Drosophila melanogaster: one gene and its partners. The protein of the gene in region 2 interacts with the protein of the main gene of each other region in a pairwise test. Each region holds a gene or a part of one and is shown on either strand. Other genes may lie near its edges. The genes, in order: CG5681, CG10494 and CG32369.

What was found.
Region 1: the proteins of CG10494 (region 2) and CG5681 interact in a two-hybrid assay, tested with the Drosophila melanogaster proteins (one large-scale study listed by BioGRID).
Region 3: the proteins of CG10494 (region 2) and CG32369 interact in a two-hybrid assay, tested with the Drosophila melanogaster proteins (one large-scale study listed by BioGRID).

The regions. Positions count from the first base shown.
Region 1 is NT_033779.5:17,984,292-17,989,768, reverse strand, and holds CG5681 (uncharacterized protein), read right to left. Parts: upstream 3,371-5,477; 5' UTR 3,305-3,370; intron 3,252-3,304; 5' UTR 3,242-3,251; coding exon 1,634-3,241; 3' UTR 1,150-1,633; downstream 1-1,149.
Region 2 is NT_033778.4:21,516,098-21,521,419, forward strand, and holds CG10494 (uncharacterized protein), read right to left. Parts: upstream 3,029-5,322; 5' UTR 2,909-3,028; coding exon 2,833-2,908; exon of another isoform or gene 2,829-2,832; intron 2,774-2,828; coding exon 2,360-2,773; intron 2,301-2,359; coding exon 1,884-2,300; intron 1,825-1,883; coding exon 1,160-1,824; 3' UTR 1,058-1,159; downstream 1-1,057. Other genes in the region: MESK2 (misexpression suppressor of KSR 2), read left to right, coding at 1-236; CG30288 (uncharacterized protein), read right to left, coding at 3,238-3,650, 3,718-3,884, 3,942-3,984, 4,047-4,272; CG30289 (uncharacterized protein), read right to left, coding at 4,514-5,022, 5,081-5,305.
Region 3 is NT_037436.4:7,806,566-7,812,338, reverse strand, and holds the start of CG32369 (uncharacterized protein), read left to right. Parts: upstream 1-2,513; 5' UTR 2,514-3,342; intron 3,343-5,773.

The DNA of each region.
Region 1 (5,477 bases), on a different chromosome or scaffold from region 2:
ATTTTTATACCCTTGCAGAGGGCATATTGATTTCAGTGAGATGTTTCCCTTTCTAGTGTAGTGGATAAGGAAAGTGGATGTATAACATAATAAGCATATAAAAGTATATCAATGGACCAGATATTAATTAATCGAAATAATCGAAAAATAAATGAAAGTAAAGAGGTCTTTGTTGTTTTTAAAAAATGATTTTGTTTGTTATGCCACCAGTTTCCAACAAATCGTATCTTCGTATCTTATGAAACTTAATTTTTTTTAAAACTCCTGAGACCTCGAAAATCCCAGAGTCATCCATTAACCAAATTGTTGGGGTAATCAATTTTAATGTTCGACCTGACCGTAGGACCACAAAACGCTCAACTGTGTGCTCAAATGTGTGCGGCCTGTCAAAGGTTAAAGGCGTTTTGTTGTATTGCCAAATTTGCTCTTGACCAACGGCAATGGCGACAAAAGTGGGTGGACCCCTATGAAGACCACATTGTCAATCAGGAATTCCTTAAACACAGCAATGCTCCGCACCGTTTATCCCCTTCCTCAGCGATTCTCTGGTTTATTTGCCAAAGTCGAAATGGCAAACACTTGGTCTAGTCCTCCGAATTGGGTTTGTATTTGGGTTTGGGACTGCCCACCTGATCCAAGCCGGCTGCTGTGTCGAAATTTATGTATTGCAGTTGACTTATTGGGGTCACAACATCCCACTTCGGACCCCGACCTCACCGAACTGGGCTGATTCGCTTTGATTTGGCCAGAATGCCCCTCAGCTGGCCAACCGTGTGTGTCGAAGCTGCGTTTTGTATTCGGTTTTGGCCAGCTCCGGGGGAAGTACCCTGTTTAATGAGAGCTAATTATGTTTAATTATTCATTTGGGACGGTGACATTTTGGACTTGGAGAGAAGGACCTATTCTTTCTCAGCATGTGGCAGCAGAAGAAATACAAACAAATTCAATCAATTAGGTAAAACACTTGGAAAATATAATTTTTTTAAATTATATTTATTGAAGAATTATTTGTTGTGACGCATATATTGAATATTTGGTAGTTTTCATAATATTCATTTCATCCAAAAGAAAAATATAACGTTTAATAATATTAATCTTCTAAAATAATCTATGTATAACGAATTTTAAGAAATATTAGTGTTATAATTTACAATATTATAAAAGCATCATTATGGGGATTGTACAAAATTATAAATTTATAAAGAATATAAGCATATTGATTTCTACTTCCGTAACGGAATGGTCATTATATTATTTCATATTTTGCCCCGAGGTTTTGTTTTTGGTTATTATAGATTTCATATCATCAGTCGCAGATAAATCAAAAGAATTATCGAAATTTGTAACATCATGGCACACGTGGATTGTAATCATCGCTAAAGGTGTATCCGAAGTACAGGATTTTTTTTTCTGTCCCGGACTCAATTTCTATTTTAATGGTACTACTATTTTCATTTTTAGAAATACTCTTTGGTGGGCTTTCTGTACAGTTTTTCTCATTCACAGTGTTTCCAAATGTATAGTCTGGTAAAGCGTCGGGATTATCTTTTATAATTGTATCCCCTGCACCATGATTAGTTTTCATATTATTTTTAATAAATGGAGTTTTTTTTTTTAATGACTTGCGCTCAGATCAACATGGTCCTAAAATGTTTCTCATCTTTCCTTTGTTTTCGTTGAAGTCAAATGAAATATTCTTAAAAGGAGGACAGGAAACCAAGTCATTTTCACATTTTGACTTGGACATCCGTTCAGAGGATTCATTATGTTTCATCATTTTTTCTGGTGCAGCTTTCATACCTCCACTCGTGTATTGATCTAGACATTCCTTTAAATCAAACTCTAATGATTGGGTCCCATGTAAATCTTTCGGAAATTGGAATCGACGTTTAATGCTATTGGAATTTTGCTCTGAATTGAGTTTATGGCCACCTGATTCATTTTCTGTACTGATTTTAATAGGTTGTGTTCCAGATGTTTCATCTTCAGCTGCTACAGTGTTTTCTTTTCTCTCTAAATCAATACTAGAAATGGTTACCTTTTGTGCAGAATTTATAAAAAAATTTATATGAAGGGAATAATCCTGCCTATGGTTAATTTCATTGCTATCATTTGCATTCGATTCGATTTTATTTGTAATACTTTCGATCGAGTTAACTTGATCTGGAAATTTGTCAGCTAGGTGAATGTCACTTAATTTGCTAAGGTTCGATTGTTTTTCAGCTAATCCATTTTTAGTGCCACCGGTTTCATTTGCTTTATATTCAATCAGTTTGACTTTAATCTTTCTTATATCCATCAAATCGACCATCATCGGTTCTTTTTTGTTTGTATCTAGTGTAGGCAATTCGTTTTCCATACCTTTGATGTTATGTTTAGTGTGGTATTTATTTTTCGAAATATGTTTAGTAGGAGCGATCATTTTCGGAGAATTCCCAGTTCTTTGGTTGCTGGTTGGGTATTTGGCTGTCTCAGCTGTATTGTTTCCTTCTCCAAGTCTTTCCAAGAGCTCATCGATTTCTTTTCTAATACCATCAACTATTGTATCTGTCAAGACTTCAGAATTAAAGCTTATAAGCTTACTTAGCATATCAAGAACTTCATCTGTCAAGTTTTTTATTAAAGCACTGTCCTCTTCTGCTTTCAGCATAAATGCATTTAAGTCCGGTTCGCTATGATTCACAAGTTCCGCAAGGCCTTCACGTGCCTTTACCATATTACCATTCATTTCGGTCTGTCCCTCAGTTCCTATTGCGATTTGAGGTAGTGCTGTTTCCTTTTTGTTCAAATATTTTTGCGTCCAGAGAAGTATTTCTTGTTGAGAATTCACATAATACTGATCAAGGACGATTTTCTTTATTGATCCTTTTAGACCTGCAATATTCATCTGAATCCACTCCAAGGCGTCGGGCAATGTGAAGCTCATCAGGTGGCCGCTGTTTTTTATTTCTATGCACTTTGATTGGGTGGGCGTGTACGCGATAGTCAAAAAAATATCATTTTCGTCATTCCTGACATCAAAAGTTGTCTCGGCACTGTTGTCTTTCACCGTTTCTTTAACTTTTTCAATAGCCCTTTCCCAAAGCTTAATCTCGTTTTGTTCTTTTAAGTGGCTCTTTTCCATAATTTTCGCCCAGTCATCATAGTCCCTTTTCATATTTGCTATCTCGCTGTAGAGCTTCGAGACTTTATCTGCAGTGCTAGCACTTGACTCCTTTTCTGATTTCAAGGTTAGATTCATCTTATTCTGGCTGTAAAATACACTTTAAAATTCATTGGTATTGATATTTCTTACCAAATATACCTTTTTTTTCTCGAATTAAATATGTTCTGATAGGCTATAAATCTTGACTGAGCACTTCAACTTGCTTGTTAAACGTACAACTCAAATGCTTATCTGTTTGTTTTTTTTTTTTTGTATATGTTTGAAATTTGGAAAAAGGCCTACTTAACACTTATCGATAAGTATACAAACTTATCATCACGTATGAATTCCAATAGACAACTTGTGAAAAACTTCTGAACTTTAACATCTCCACCACGGTATCAGAAACTTGATAGTTTGCCCACCTTTAAATACGAGGTATGTTCCACAAGAACGCTCCAAAGTATGCGGCAACAATTCATCGCCAGAACAAGGCTTTTAATCAAGCCAAGGACTTAGCCTCGCTTACAGGCGAGTTTGTATGTAGCACATGAATGTTAACATCTTCCTGCACATATATGCGCTCTTCGGAGACAGAGGAAACATAATCACATGCGTAGCTGCCATTTCCGTTGCATATTTACAGGGGCCGTCTCCTTGGACCGCCCGATAATATATAACTGCGATTCGCAGGCTGTAAATTTTGACTTTCAATGAGAGCATGGAATTTGACATTTACTAATTGCCGGATTATACGGCTGAAGACCCTCGTGAAGATGCAAGGACTCGAAATGCATTCCTCAATCGAAAAACTCTCATTTGTGTAAACTGAATGGCAAACATCTCGCAAATGAAACGGGTTAAGCCGCTCTTCACTTTCCTGCCGAAGATAGTAGAGCCAGGAAACTCGACTTAGTTCTATTTCCGCTCGAGCGGAGGAAATACAGCATCTGTCATCGGCATATCGACGGCATTAATTAATCAACGTTATGCATGTCAATCAAGAAGTGTGCCAGCCATCTCTTTCTAATGCTCGCTGGCATTTTGCTCCTTTTTTCTTCCGACCAGAATATCACTTTCGCAAATTGAAGTTGCCTTTCCTGTTTCTCGATTTCTGTTGTTGCATGTGTGGCTGTTCATGGCAAGTCATGCATATTCATTGTTTACAGACGCACAAGCACCCACAAACATAAACAATCACTTGGCAATTTTACCTGATTTCTTTTCAAAAACATCGAACTCCACTCCACCCCAATTAGTTTCCAATTCTCTTTCCGGTTTATTTTCCATTGGATTTGGAATTGTTTGGGGGCGACGTATTTGGAAATCAGCTCAAATGCTCAAATATCTATTGCTTGCCATTTGTGCAATTAACCGAAAGTTTTTGAAAATGGAAAACTCGGAAATCAGAAAGTTTAAGATGGATTAATTCAATCTTATGGCAAGTATTTTGTGATTGATTTTTGAGTTTTGGCAAGACAGAACATTTTGAGTCATTCAAAACACTCACCATAATTTGAAACACCGTATAATTCTCCACAAGTATCAAAAGCTAACGCCTTTTTATTGGCAATTTGCCTACCACCAACAGATACACGTTCTCCTGCTTTCAATTTATATTTATTTATTACGTTGGACATTCATAAATTCGATGTTGTAGGGCCCATAACAATCATAATCTTCGATATAATTTCCACTTTATGGTTGCCCAGCTGCTAGGCGATAAAAATTTGCACATTGATATGCTTTTATGGTAGCAAACAATAAAATAAGGCAAGTAAACAAATAAACAATGTATGGAACATCAGAGAGCAATTTCAATGCAAAGAGCCTCAAGAAACACAAGCACATGCTAGGCATTCTTCCCATTTCCTTACTCGCTCGAATGCAAAAGCCTACAATGTGTTGACAGTCTATAGACAAAAGGTTGCTCGCAAAGGATGGCTAGAATAACTTGTAATTTGACAAAATCCATAAACCATAAATTCCTGGCCAAACCAGCACTTAAATTGCCACATCCGCCAAAGGAAATTCCTCCATTGTCTTTGTCAGTAGATTTGTGCCAAGTCCCGAAAAGAAAACTGTCTCGTAATCGCAGGCAATAAAAAAACAGAAACACATAAAATATTATCGAATACAGTAGAGCGAGTAGTTGGCAACCCTGGGAGCCGCATAAAAATCCCTCAAGACCATAAATCGCCATCAGCCAGAAACCATCACGACTATTAGGTTAAATCAACCCAAAGACACGAGCCGAAATCAGCATTGGGTAAATTTAGTGCCCACTTTTGGGTATTTATCATGCAATAGTCGTTCCCATTCAATGAAATGT
Region 2 (5,322 bases):
ACTCCAACACCACCGCCGGCCAGGGGGACAATAATAATGCGGATGGTCGCAGCGTCGACGGGGACGACCAGGATCTGGAGAACGGAAACGGATGTGCCGGCGGCAACGGAACAGGAACCGGTAATGGCAACCGAGCCTACGTGACCACGGACACATCGGGCACGCTTTACTACGGCACCCAGAGCAACAAGATACGCATCACAGAGAACCCACTGCCCGAGCCGGTCAGCTCTTAGATTGTTACTGCAGAGTCCACATAATCTCCAAAAGACACCTTGTTATTGTTGTTACCACACACTGAGAAAAAATAATGCAGCAGCAGCAGCCAAGTCAAGCCAAGCTTTCAGCCGTGCTCCAAGAGACACAAAGCCACAGAAACTCAAAGAATAAAAAATATTATGAAATACAAGCAACTCACACACCGCTAGGAAATGAATGCGAATGCAATAATTAACCACCAAATGAGAACCCATTGATTGATTGATTGATTGATTGGTTGATTGATTGATTGTGTTTCCCTATGGTTTTCGAGATGCGGAGAGATATTTGTAATTTACACTTTGTGCCTGAGCGTAACGTAACGAACATACACGTATATATATCAAGCCAGATCGGTTCAGATCAGCAACAGCAGTTTAGTTTTCTATGCCCAATTGATTACATTGTTTTTTTTTTTGGAGTGCAACACATATTTTATGACGAGCTTGCTTAGTTGTTGTAAACCGAACAATATACAAAATATATACATATGTGTATACAGATGACACAAGCAGAACAAAAACTAAAAACTAACGAGCATTTTCGCTTAATGTTAAAACCTAAAACGAATCCAACTGTTAACTTAATCCCAAAAAATAACAATGTAGCATATCAAATAAAAAACGAAAAATCTCTCAAAATTACGTATATACTTATACAAAACCCTAGATAAATCGTAGACAATTGCGAATTGCGAGTAACTTCAAACCAACATTCTGTTCACAATGAATGAGGAATAAATTCTAGACACAGGACACTGTCACAAAAACAGGATACACACACACACACGATATTGAATATAGAATACATACATATAATATATATAAATAATGACAACTTTTTGCAATAACTTCGAATTCAATTCAATAAAAGTTTTAGAAGCTTGAGTTCTATGTTTCCATTACTTCGGTTGCAGCATTTCGCTGATCCTGCGCAGGGTCTCCTCTCGATCTCGATGCATCAGTTCCGATACTTGTTCCAAAAATTGATGCTGCTGCTCGCGTTGCTGCCGCAAGAAGCTTTCGTTGGTAGTTTTGATCTGCGCAAGCAGCTGCTTTTGACCTTCTATGATTGCAGTGAGTGCTTCAATCGGCGTTGGTTCAGCCTCCATCTCGATGGCGTCCACGTAGTCCTCGCTATCGGCTGCCGCTCTTAGGAGATCGCAGGTGGAGCTGGAGTTGTCGCTGTCACTTTCCAGCGGAACGCTTGGTTTGCCTGGCGGCTTGAGAAAGGAAGGCTTGCTGATGCGAATGAGCCTGCTGATGGCACTTTCTCTGTTCTCCCGCGGCGCCTGAATCAGTTCATCGAAAAGCTCAAAGTGGCGAGGCAGAATGCGTACATTATCTAGCCCGTGCTCCTTGGCCTCTCGATGACGCTTGCAGAGCAGCCTTAGTTTATTGCGCAGCTGGTGTGGCGTGCGTTTGATGTCCTGCTTAGCCAGGATGTTGGAAATGTGCACCAGGGTCTGGAAGTTGCGCTTCCTTGAGCCATCCAAGGCGCGAAAGAAACCATTGTCCCGAATGATGAGTAGAAACGAATCAACCTCTTCGTCTGTCCAAAAGTGCGCTAAGGAACATAGGAATTTAATTAAATATGGAATAGGAACTAGCTATTATAATATCTACCTCCGCTTCTCTGTGATGCATCACCCTCTTCCTCGTCACTGTCATTGAAATCACTATCGCTTGCGCTGCTCAGATGGGCTTCCGCTTCAGCATCTGCGGCCGCCTCCTCTTCGGTGGGATCCAGGACCAGTCGCATCGCCTCAAAATGCTCGAACGTTTTCCCCGTGCCGTTCTTGACCTTGTTGTACAATCGCCGCAGCTGCTGGAACTTGATGCGCAGCTTCTCAGCACCCTTGTGGCAGTTGCGTTTTGCCATCTCCTTGGACAGCAGCTTGAAGACCTTGGCATTGCGCTTTTGCAGCAAAGCTGCTCGCAGTCCAAGTGTGTGGATCAGGTCTAGGAGGAGGTCCACTTCGCCCTCTGCCCACTTGCAGCGGGCGACGATGTTAACTGAAGATCCTGAGGCATCCAAAGCATCTGCGAAGGAAAGTCGCCTAAGTTCGTATTCCAATACATTCCTGCCCGGTGGCACCTACCGTCCCCTTCGGTTTCTGAGATCATGCCGGACTGGTCCTCGTCGGCCTCCATATCGCTGTCACTCTCTAGCGCCTCTTCATCCAGATCAGATACATCTTCTCCCTGCATCAACTCGTGCACCGCCTCAAAGTGCTCGAATGGTTCGCCGCCATTCCGAGCTCTCGCATACTGACGCCGCATCTGATGGAACTTGACTCTCAGATGCTTTGGACTCTTGGGGCAGTTCCGCCGGGCCATTTCTCTGGACACCATACGAAACACCTTTGCATTGCTTCGCGGCCTTCGAAGAGCAGCTTGCAGTTTAAGTTGGTGAATGATTTCCAGAAAGGTCTCCACCTTTGCGCTGGTCCACTTGCAGCGACTCGCTTTCCCAGAACTATTTTCCGACACCGAGTGACTCGCATTTCCCAGATCTGTTACGAAAAGTAAGGATTTGGTAACATCGAACCGGCTGAGGACGCTGCTTACCCACTCATAAGGTGTGCGTATTTCTGCTCCGTTTCGTGCTCGTCCTCATCGTTGCCATTGAAGAGCGAGAACTTGCTCATTTTCAAATGGTTATGCTTAAATCGCGCAATGAAATCAATAAATATATATTTATATTTGATCGGTTTTTTTTTAGCTTGATCAAATCATAACAATAACAAAACTGTCATCGATAGTAGGACGCGTTAAGCTACCTATCGTTATCGGCATCGATGCGGCCGTACCATACATTCTGCTCGAATGTATGTTTCATGTAAGGAATATGTATGTTAAATGTAGAAATAGCCTACAATCTGAAAAAAAAAACCAAAACCAACAAGAAACTATGATATTGATAGCCAAAATATATACGCTAAAACATTATATTGTTATTAAGCAACATATTTTGATCTCATTCAAAGTCGTCTGAATGGTTTTGAATAACATCCAATATCCAGTCCGTAAAGTGTGTGACATTGGTGTAAATTCCCAAGCCACTGCACAACCGAAGTCCTTGGCTAGCGACACCGAACTGGAAGACCCTTCCCTGCCCCTCAAATGTACGAATTGCGCTCAAAGGACCTCCCGAATCGCCTTTGCACGAATCACTGATATAACTGCCGGCACATATATAGGATATATCGAGAGGTCTTCCAGGTCTTTCACAACTCCATTGAGGTAATTGTTGCAGGGTGGCAGTCTGTAGCCTATCTTGCTCTTCTCCATCACTATTTGTACCCCATCCGGTGAAATTGAAGCGTAATATTGAGAGTGGGTTCCCACCCAACGTTTTGCCCAGAATCAAGCAGATTGGTCTGACATAGTCTATGGCGAACTTTAGTTAGTTACATATTTAGTTCCCAAGAAACTTTTGATAGCGAAATGCACTTACTTGAGAATATCACACTCCTTTGCATTCGCAACAGACCAATATCATATCCTGGATTACTATGAACAATTTTCCTATCCACGTCCACATTGTAGGCCCTTGGTGTGCAGACAAAATCATCGCAGTCGAATATGGGATGTCGGGTATCGTATTCGCCCAGGCGCACATTCCTTAAAAAAGGTCATTTTGAGGATCAAATGTGTAGTAATAGTATGGTATGCACTCACATATACATTGGGGAAATGCAATGCTCGGCGGTCAAAACAAATCCTAAATGAACATACAATGATAATTTGAGTATATATTTCTTATTATCAATTCCAAATACTTACGAGCAGTTATAAGTGAACCGCCACACACTGCTTTTCCCGAAATCATTACTCTGACCATCCAGGGATTCGATTCCATGCCAGCATCTCTACCTCCATCGATTCGCGCTCTATAACCATTACTGCTCGTGGTTCCACAGTCGTTTTCCAGTAAGCGTCCGGATTCCGTCCGGATAATCCCAATAAAAAGACAGGCTACTATCACAAGCTGCCGTATAGGTAGACGCATCTTGTTCAGAGACTAAATTCGAATGGCATCGGTTTCTATTTTTATGCTTGTTCTTCGGCAAACGGCAGAGATAAGAAGTGATTTATTCAGAAAAAATACTAATACAATTTTTACAATCGATTTGAATGTGACATCGTTTATTTTCAATTAATGACAAGATTTTTTTTTTTTAATTAAATCTCTTGAACTTTAATATATTTCGAACTTCGATGCGTTGCCCTGCCATTTTGTCGAATATTAATTAATTTTCATATACAATTCTGTTATACATTAGTTCTATATTCCTTATTATGTCTGTTATGTTACAAGTTTGGCCTACGAGCTTGGATAACCAAAAGGTAGTATGACCTGTAGGTTTGAATTGAACCATTTTATTAAATATCCATTCCCTGTGGTACGATACATTGGTGTAAACACCTGCCACATTAGCCGCGCACCTTTCGGATCCGTAGCTGACCAAGCCGTACTGGAAACTCAGAAGCCTGTTGCCATAATGAAATTTCGAGCTCAATGGGCCTCCAGAATCGCCCTTACAGGTGTTACTGGTATGACTGCCAGCACATATCTGCGATCGATCAGCCTGTTTGTTGAACTTAATGTTACAGTATGATATATCCATGTTATATAGAGTGGCATTCAGTAGGATCCGACTGAATTGACCATATTCTGTTTCACCCCAGCCGGTAACCGTAAACATTGGAATGCTTTGCATTTGCTCGCCGACAAGAAGGCAAATTGGCCTAACATAATCTATAACGAAAAACATAAAGCTTTAGTCATCCACGTGAGATAAAACCCCTCTATTTACCTGAGTACTCCACAGCTTCGGACATACGAAGCAATGCTATATCATTCTGGAGAGTGATGCCATTATAATTTTCGTGAACAATTTTCATATCCACACTAATGTTGTAGAACTTTGGTATACAGTGATTGTTAAGGCAGTATGGCATGGGATCTAGTGTTTCGTAATCACCCAAGCGCACATACAGATCTTCAAAGGATACGCAGTGCGCTGCTGTCAGGACGAATTCTTAAAAGAAAAATAAA
Region 3 (5,773 bases), on a different chromosome or scaffold from region 2:
AGATGAAAGCCTAAGCAAGGACACTAACATGTACCTAGATATATATACAAAACCAAAATAAATCTAAAAAAAAAAAAACAAAAGAGAAAACCTAAAGAAACTCCAACAGAAGTGCTCGAGATGCTGCAGATTAGCTATAATTTACTACCTAATGTCAAGTCATTTGTTAATTATTTTACACTCAACTTAATTCATATTGAGTTCCATAACATTCTGTATAAGTTTTTGTAGATTTTGTTAACCGAATGAGAAAGTTATGCTTCTGTTATGGTCTTTAATTTCGTAATAGAAACTGAATTTAATTAGTAGGAACTTCAAGAGATAAGAAGTGAGATTAAGGCAAGGCGAATAATTATGTTTTACGAAAACTGCAAGAAAGAACAAACAATAAAGGTTTAGATACAAATTTTGAAACGATAAATGCAAAAAAAAAAATGATAAAAACTGTTTCATTTTTCTGTGGATTTTGTGGTATACCATTAGGCGAGTTTTTTCCTCTGAACGAATAGCCAACTTCGGGGCAGCATTGTCAAAACAGAGTGGTTGGCCTTCAAAGCAGCTGGAATACACAGTTTTGAGTAACTGGAGGTCAAGTTGATTGCATAATTGGTGAGTGGAGAGAGGATCTGAAAATGGTAACTGGATATGAGATAAGCTGTTAAAACTGTTGGGTGCAGTTGACATGTCGCTAAATAAAGCTGCCGGAAACTCAAGAACTGAAATGACGAACTTCAAGTTCGGATAAAATGCGCATTCTAAAACAATGTATACCATTCAACATTTAATCTGTGGAAAAACTTCCATGGATTCCAATCATAAGACAAATTCTCACTTCCACTTGGCAACAAACGAAACTCGCCCGACTTCAATTAACATTCACTAAAACAACGAAAAAAAATAAATAATTTGTTTGTCAGCTTCACACACCTATTTCAAATTCAGCTGAACCAAAGCCCAAATCGGTGATATACACTATTATGCAAAAAACATAATAAAGCAAAAAAAAAAAACTGAAACTAATTTCCTCATATATTGCTTACAAAATAAACATTTCAAACATGAAACTCGCAGCTAATTTCCGTTGATGAACAACAAAAGCAGCGCCAACTATTTGAGAAATGGGAGCTGTATAACCGGTACACAGTCAAAATTTAATTATATAATTGTACATGGTATTAAAATATATGGTACTACTAAAATAACGTTAATTGCTAAACAATTAAAGATTATTGAGATTCTACAACTCAGAAATTTGAAAATATATATTAGAATAAATTTTGTTAATTTTAATATGTTTTAATCTGTAAACTTTCAAGCTTTGTTTTTTTTTTGAATGCAGGCTTAAACCAGACCCAGACCTGAGGCAAAGCAATTCGATTACTTCCCTATGGGGAAATGTTGCAATAAATGCGAGCAATGCTCAAACATAAGCGGACTCCACTCGCCCGCCCCGCATATTTTTATACTGTCCAAGACTTACGAAAGCGAAAAATGAGTTAACAACAACGGCCACTCAAAATGTTAATGGAAACGCAGCAGCAGCAGCAGCAGCAGCAGCATGAAAACTGGTAGTATGCAGGCAACCGCTAACAGACAACGTTGAACTTGAGCTTGAAATACAAGCCAAGCGGAGCCAAAAGAGAAAGACGGGAAGTAGGGGGAGGGGAAGCGATACGCGGTTGTTATAAGCCAAGTTTGTCGACAACTGCATTTGTTGATCAACCCAAATGAGGTCAACGCGTCGTATACGTAATTTGCGTTAAATGACAAAACAATATGTAATAGCCACACAACACTTACGAAACGCAGATATTCGATATTACAGACGAACTTTAACAACTCTGAGCTCTATCGGGATAGGAAATCTATAGCTTCAAAACCTGTTTAAGGATTATAAAATTAATACATCTTGTAATGACATGTCTGAGAATTAATCAACTTATATTTTCACAGTTTAATCTATTGTGTATTTTGTTATACAAATTTCGTTATTAATTTTATAAGTTATTTGAGTAAGCTTTTATTCTATTTTACATAATCTAAAAACTATATTTGCGTATTAAACAAAATTACAAAATTTTATATATGTAATTTAGTTTAAGTAACAGAAAATCGACCGTATCTGTTGTGATTATTGATGTTTGCTTGGTGTTTATATGGCTGTAGTCTGTTGAGTGGCGCCGGAAATGCGCATCATACGATAAATGACGCCCACTGGCAAACTAGCACCCCCAACACCACCCACTATCCCCCAACCCAATAGTTTTGCAAATCACCCACCGCAGCCCCCGCTGCCCCATCATTTTTCTTGGCGTCGCCTGTTGTGACAGTTGACGGTTTGCCGGCAAAAATTAAAAAAAAAAATAAAATGCCAGAGAGAGAAGTGCTAAACAAAGAGAGCTCAAGGCACAGACATCGATGACGCAACAGACACATCCACGGAGGCGTAAGAGAGTCGACCCCAAAAGAGAGCGCCAATTTTTCGCTCCAAGCCAACGACTGACTTTTCACAGCAGTCATTCGCTGTTGAACAGCGGCCGTGGCAAGTTCAGACAGCAGGGAGAGTTTGAAAAAAAAAACCAGGCCGTAATACAAATACAAAAAGCAAAATAATAAAAATTATACAAAAAAAAAGTATGAATAATAAAAAAGGCAAATAAAAAAGCAACAAAGTGGAGCGCACCCCATAAGCAAATCATCGCCGAGCCACTCGAACACGTTGCCGCCGTTGCTGCTGTTGTCGCTATTTCTTTCGCCCAGTGCGTTCGCTCTCTCTCTTTCTGTCTCGTCGCGTAACGTAAGCGTATTACAAAACAAACGCCAACGTAATCAAAGAAATAAATAAAATAAAATAAAGGTGCTCGCTCGCGTGTTTCTCGGTGTGAATAAATGAAATAAATAAATTAGTCACAAAATATAAAAAGGGGGTCCAAGTGCAGCCCCCCCCAAATTGCCGCACACCCTTTACGAGAAAGAAAGAAAAAAAGTTAACCCGTGTGTGCGGCGGGGTTACGTAAAGCCGACGGACAAGCGCCGTTCCAAGTTCTTACAAAACAAAAAAAAAAATATATATAAATATCAAACAACACATAACACGAGTGAATAGATTCCCCAATTCGATTTTTTCGCACGCGTGTGGCTATAAATTTTTGGCAAACAAAAATATATACAACTAAATACAACAACAAAATTTTAAATAAATTGCAAGAAGAAGAGGGAGAATTTCGTGTGTTAGTGTGTGTGTCTGTGTGTGATTCTTGAGCAACAGTACACGCCGCACCCCCCGCGAAAAACCTACCCTTTTTTGGGGAAAAACAAGGAGGCGCGGTTCAACAGCGACAGGTAATTCCATTTCTGCGCTCTCTTTGCCACTCTTTCGGGTTCTCTTTGTGTGTGTTACGACATCAAACCACATGCTATGCCTCTGTTTTCAATGTGAATGAACGCTCGACAAAGTTGCGTTTTCAAAGATTGGCACATTCAAGTCTCTCTCTTAGTTTTTCGCTCTTTGTCGGGGAAAACAGTTTTTCATTTGCTATCTGCAATGATTGTGAAAACAAAAAGTGCACTGCTTGAGTCTAGCGGAGGGAAAACTGCAGGGGCGGCTCTTACGTGTTGCCATATTTTTAAAGGCATTACTAAGCGTTTTTTCCGCGCTGCTTTGTTGACGTTCTGTGGCCAATTGAATTCGGCCTGCACTTGATAATCATTTATATTTAATGTGTGATAAAACTTCCGTGGAAAAATATATATCTTAACGATTTCGCGATAAATTAGCTCAGATAAGCAAAAAACAAATGGTGGAAAGAACGATTTGGGAATTTTAAAAGAAGTAAAATTAAGAAAATAAACAATTCAACCTCGTTAAATTATAGTTGACACAAATTTTATATACAAAGTTAAAGTATATAAAATATAACTGGTAAAAAAAAACGTCAGTTTTTTTCATTTTCATTTCATTCATTTTCCTTGAATCTGTCGCGTTGTCATCGCTTTCGTAATTCTCTGGTTAACAGTTTCCAATCCCCGATAATCTACTAAAGATTCGCCAATTTGTCGGGGTCACCACCCAATATTCGTCAGCTACCAAAGCGAGAAACTGGGCTCCTTCCCTCTCCCCCCCTCGACCGCATATGCCCCTCTCACTCGGTTGACGTTTAGCGTTACGACACGCAATGTACTACGAGTATTATGCGACGTTTGCTGCCAATGAACAAGCCGCAACAACACAGTTCGCCCACTTGGCCCAAAACGAAAAACGCCAAAGGGGTTGGGGAAATGCTGAAAAAATATGGTTAGCTCGAAAAGAGGAAAAACCTATTTGCATACGTCATCGGGCGAAAAAGGTTCGTCATGACTCAGAGTCGAATATCGAGGAAGCCAGACTTCAAACAGCTGGATCGTTGTTATATAAACCAAGTCAAACACTACACCGAACTTATGTAAGGCCCAAAGGGACCGGGCCAATTAGTCACAGCGAATGTGGGGGTTCTTGTGTAATCGGTGTGAAATCAAAACCGAAAACCTGAAAAATCACAAACTATGTAGAAATTTTTGGTTGCTAATTGGCTTGCCTCAATAAATTCTTCAGCCCAGTTTCTTTTGTAGTTATTTTGAGCTATTTATATCAGCGTTTATCGCCGTCGTCATTGTCGTCCATTCGAATACAATGTCATAAAACGTGTGAGCCAAGCAAAAAACGGCAAGACAAATGAGAAACCAATAAAACAAATATCAAAGAAGAAATCAAAATGTACAAAACCAAATAAACGCCAACATTAAGGCAATGAAAATGTATGCGATTTCATAATTACGTCGAAAACTACCATCGGAGCATAATCACTTGGTTATGCAATTTATTGGCTTATGTGGCGTGATTACTTGGCGATTAAAGAACTCTATCAGAAGTTCTTGGGATTTTAGGAAATTGGTGAAAGACTTAAACAACTTTGTAGGAATTTCCACACCTGAGCTGTTGCTCATATCGTATTTGGGTACATGAATGTTCATGAAGATGAATCATTTGTTGACTCATTTTCATAAGATAGCAATTTCATAGTTGATACAGAACAACTGTCGTTTTCAATCAGTTCTTTACAAGCAAGCAAATAGTAATTATTTCAACAATCGCTCAATGAGTTTATCACATTTAGTGCTGTAAGTTCCTTTATCGACTTCAATCACTGCGCGCCTACAATCACTTATCGGACTTAAGGCAAACAATGCCTGAATTCAGTTGACTTAGAATACTGACAAACGCCGTTGTAAATGTAGCTATATACACATATTATATGTCAACGCTGCCATTTTGTCTGAGTGACGACGGACAACGGTTGTTTGTATCTACGATTGACATTGCATAATATTGTGAAAAATAAAGCAATCTACGCTATAAGCTATTGCCCTGAGGGCGTGTTCAGGTAGCCGGGCTTCACATATTTGTTATTCACTTAGGAACAATTTATCGGATACGGATTATGCAATAGGACTTTACGTACACGGAACTGCAACCACGATTGCACCAGGATGCACGTGCAGTTATATGAGGCGTATACATAATTTTTACTTACGCAAAGCCGAGCGGCAACAGGAACAATTAGAATCGAGTGCCTTCTGGCTTGTTTACCAACTTTTCCCTTGTCCAATACAATGTTTCACAATGCCAGCTGATATGAAAGTTGGAGCTCCCTATCTCAATCTCGTTCGTTACCTCTCTATTTATATATACTGCTTATATGGTTTCGTTTCCGAGGCGGAGATTGCGCTGTTTTGC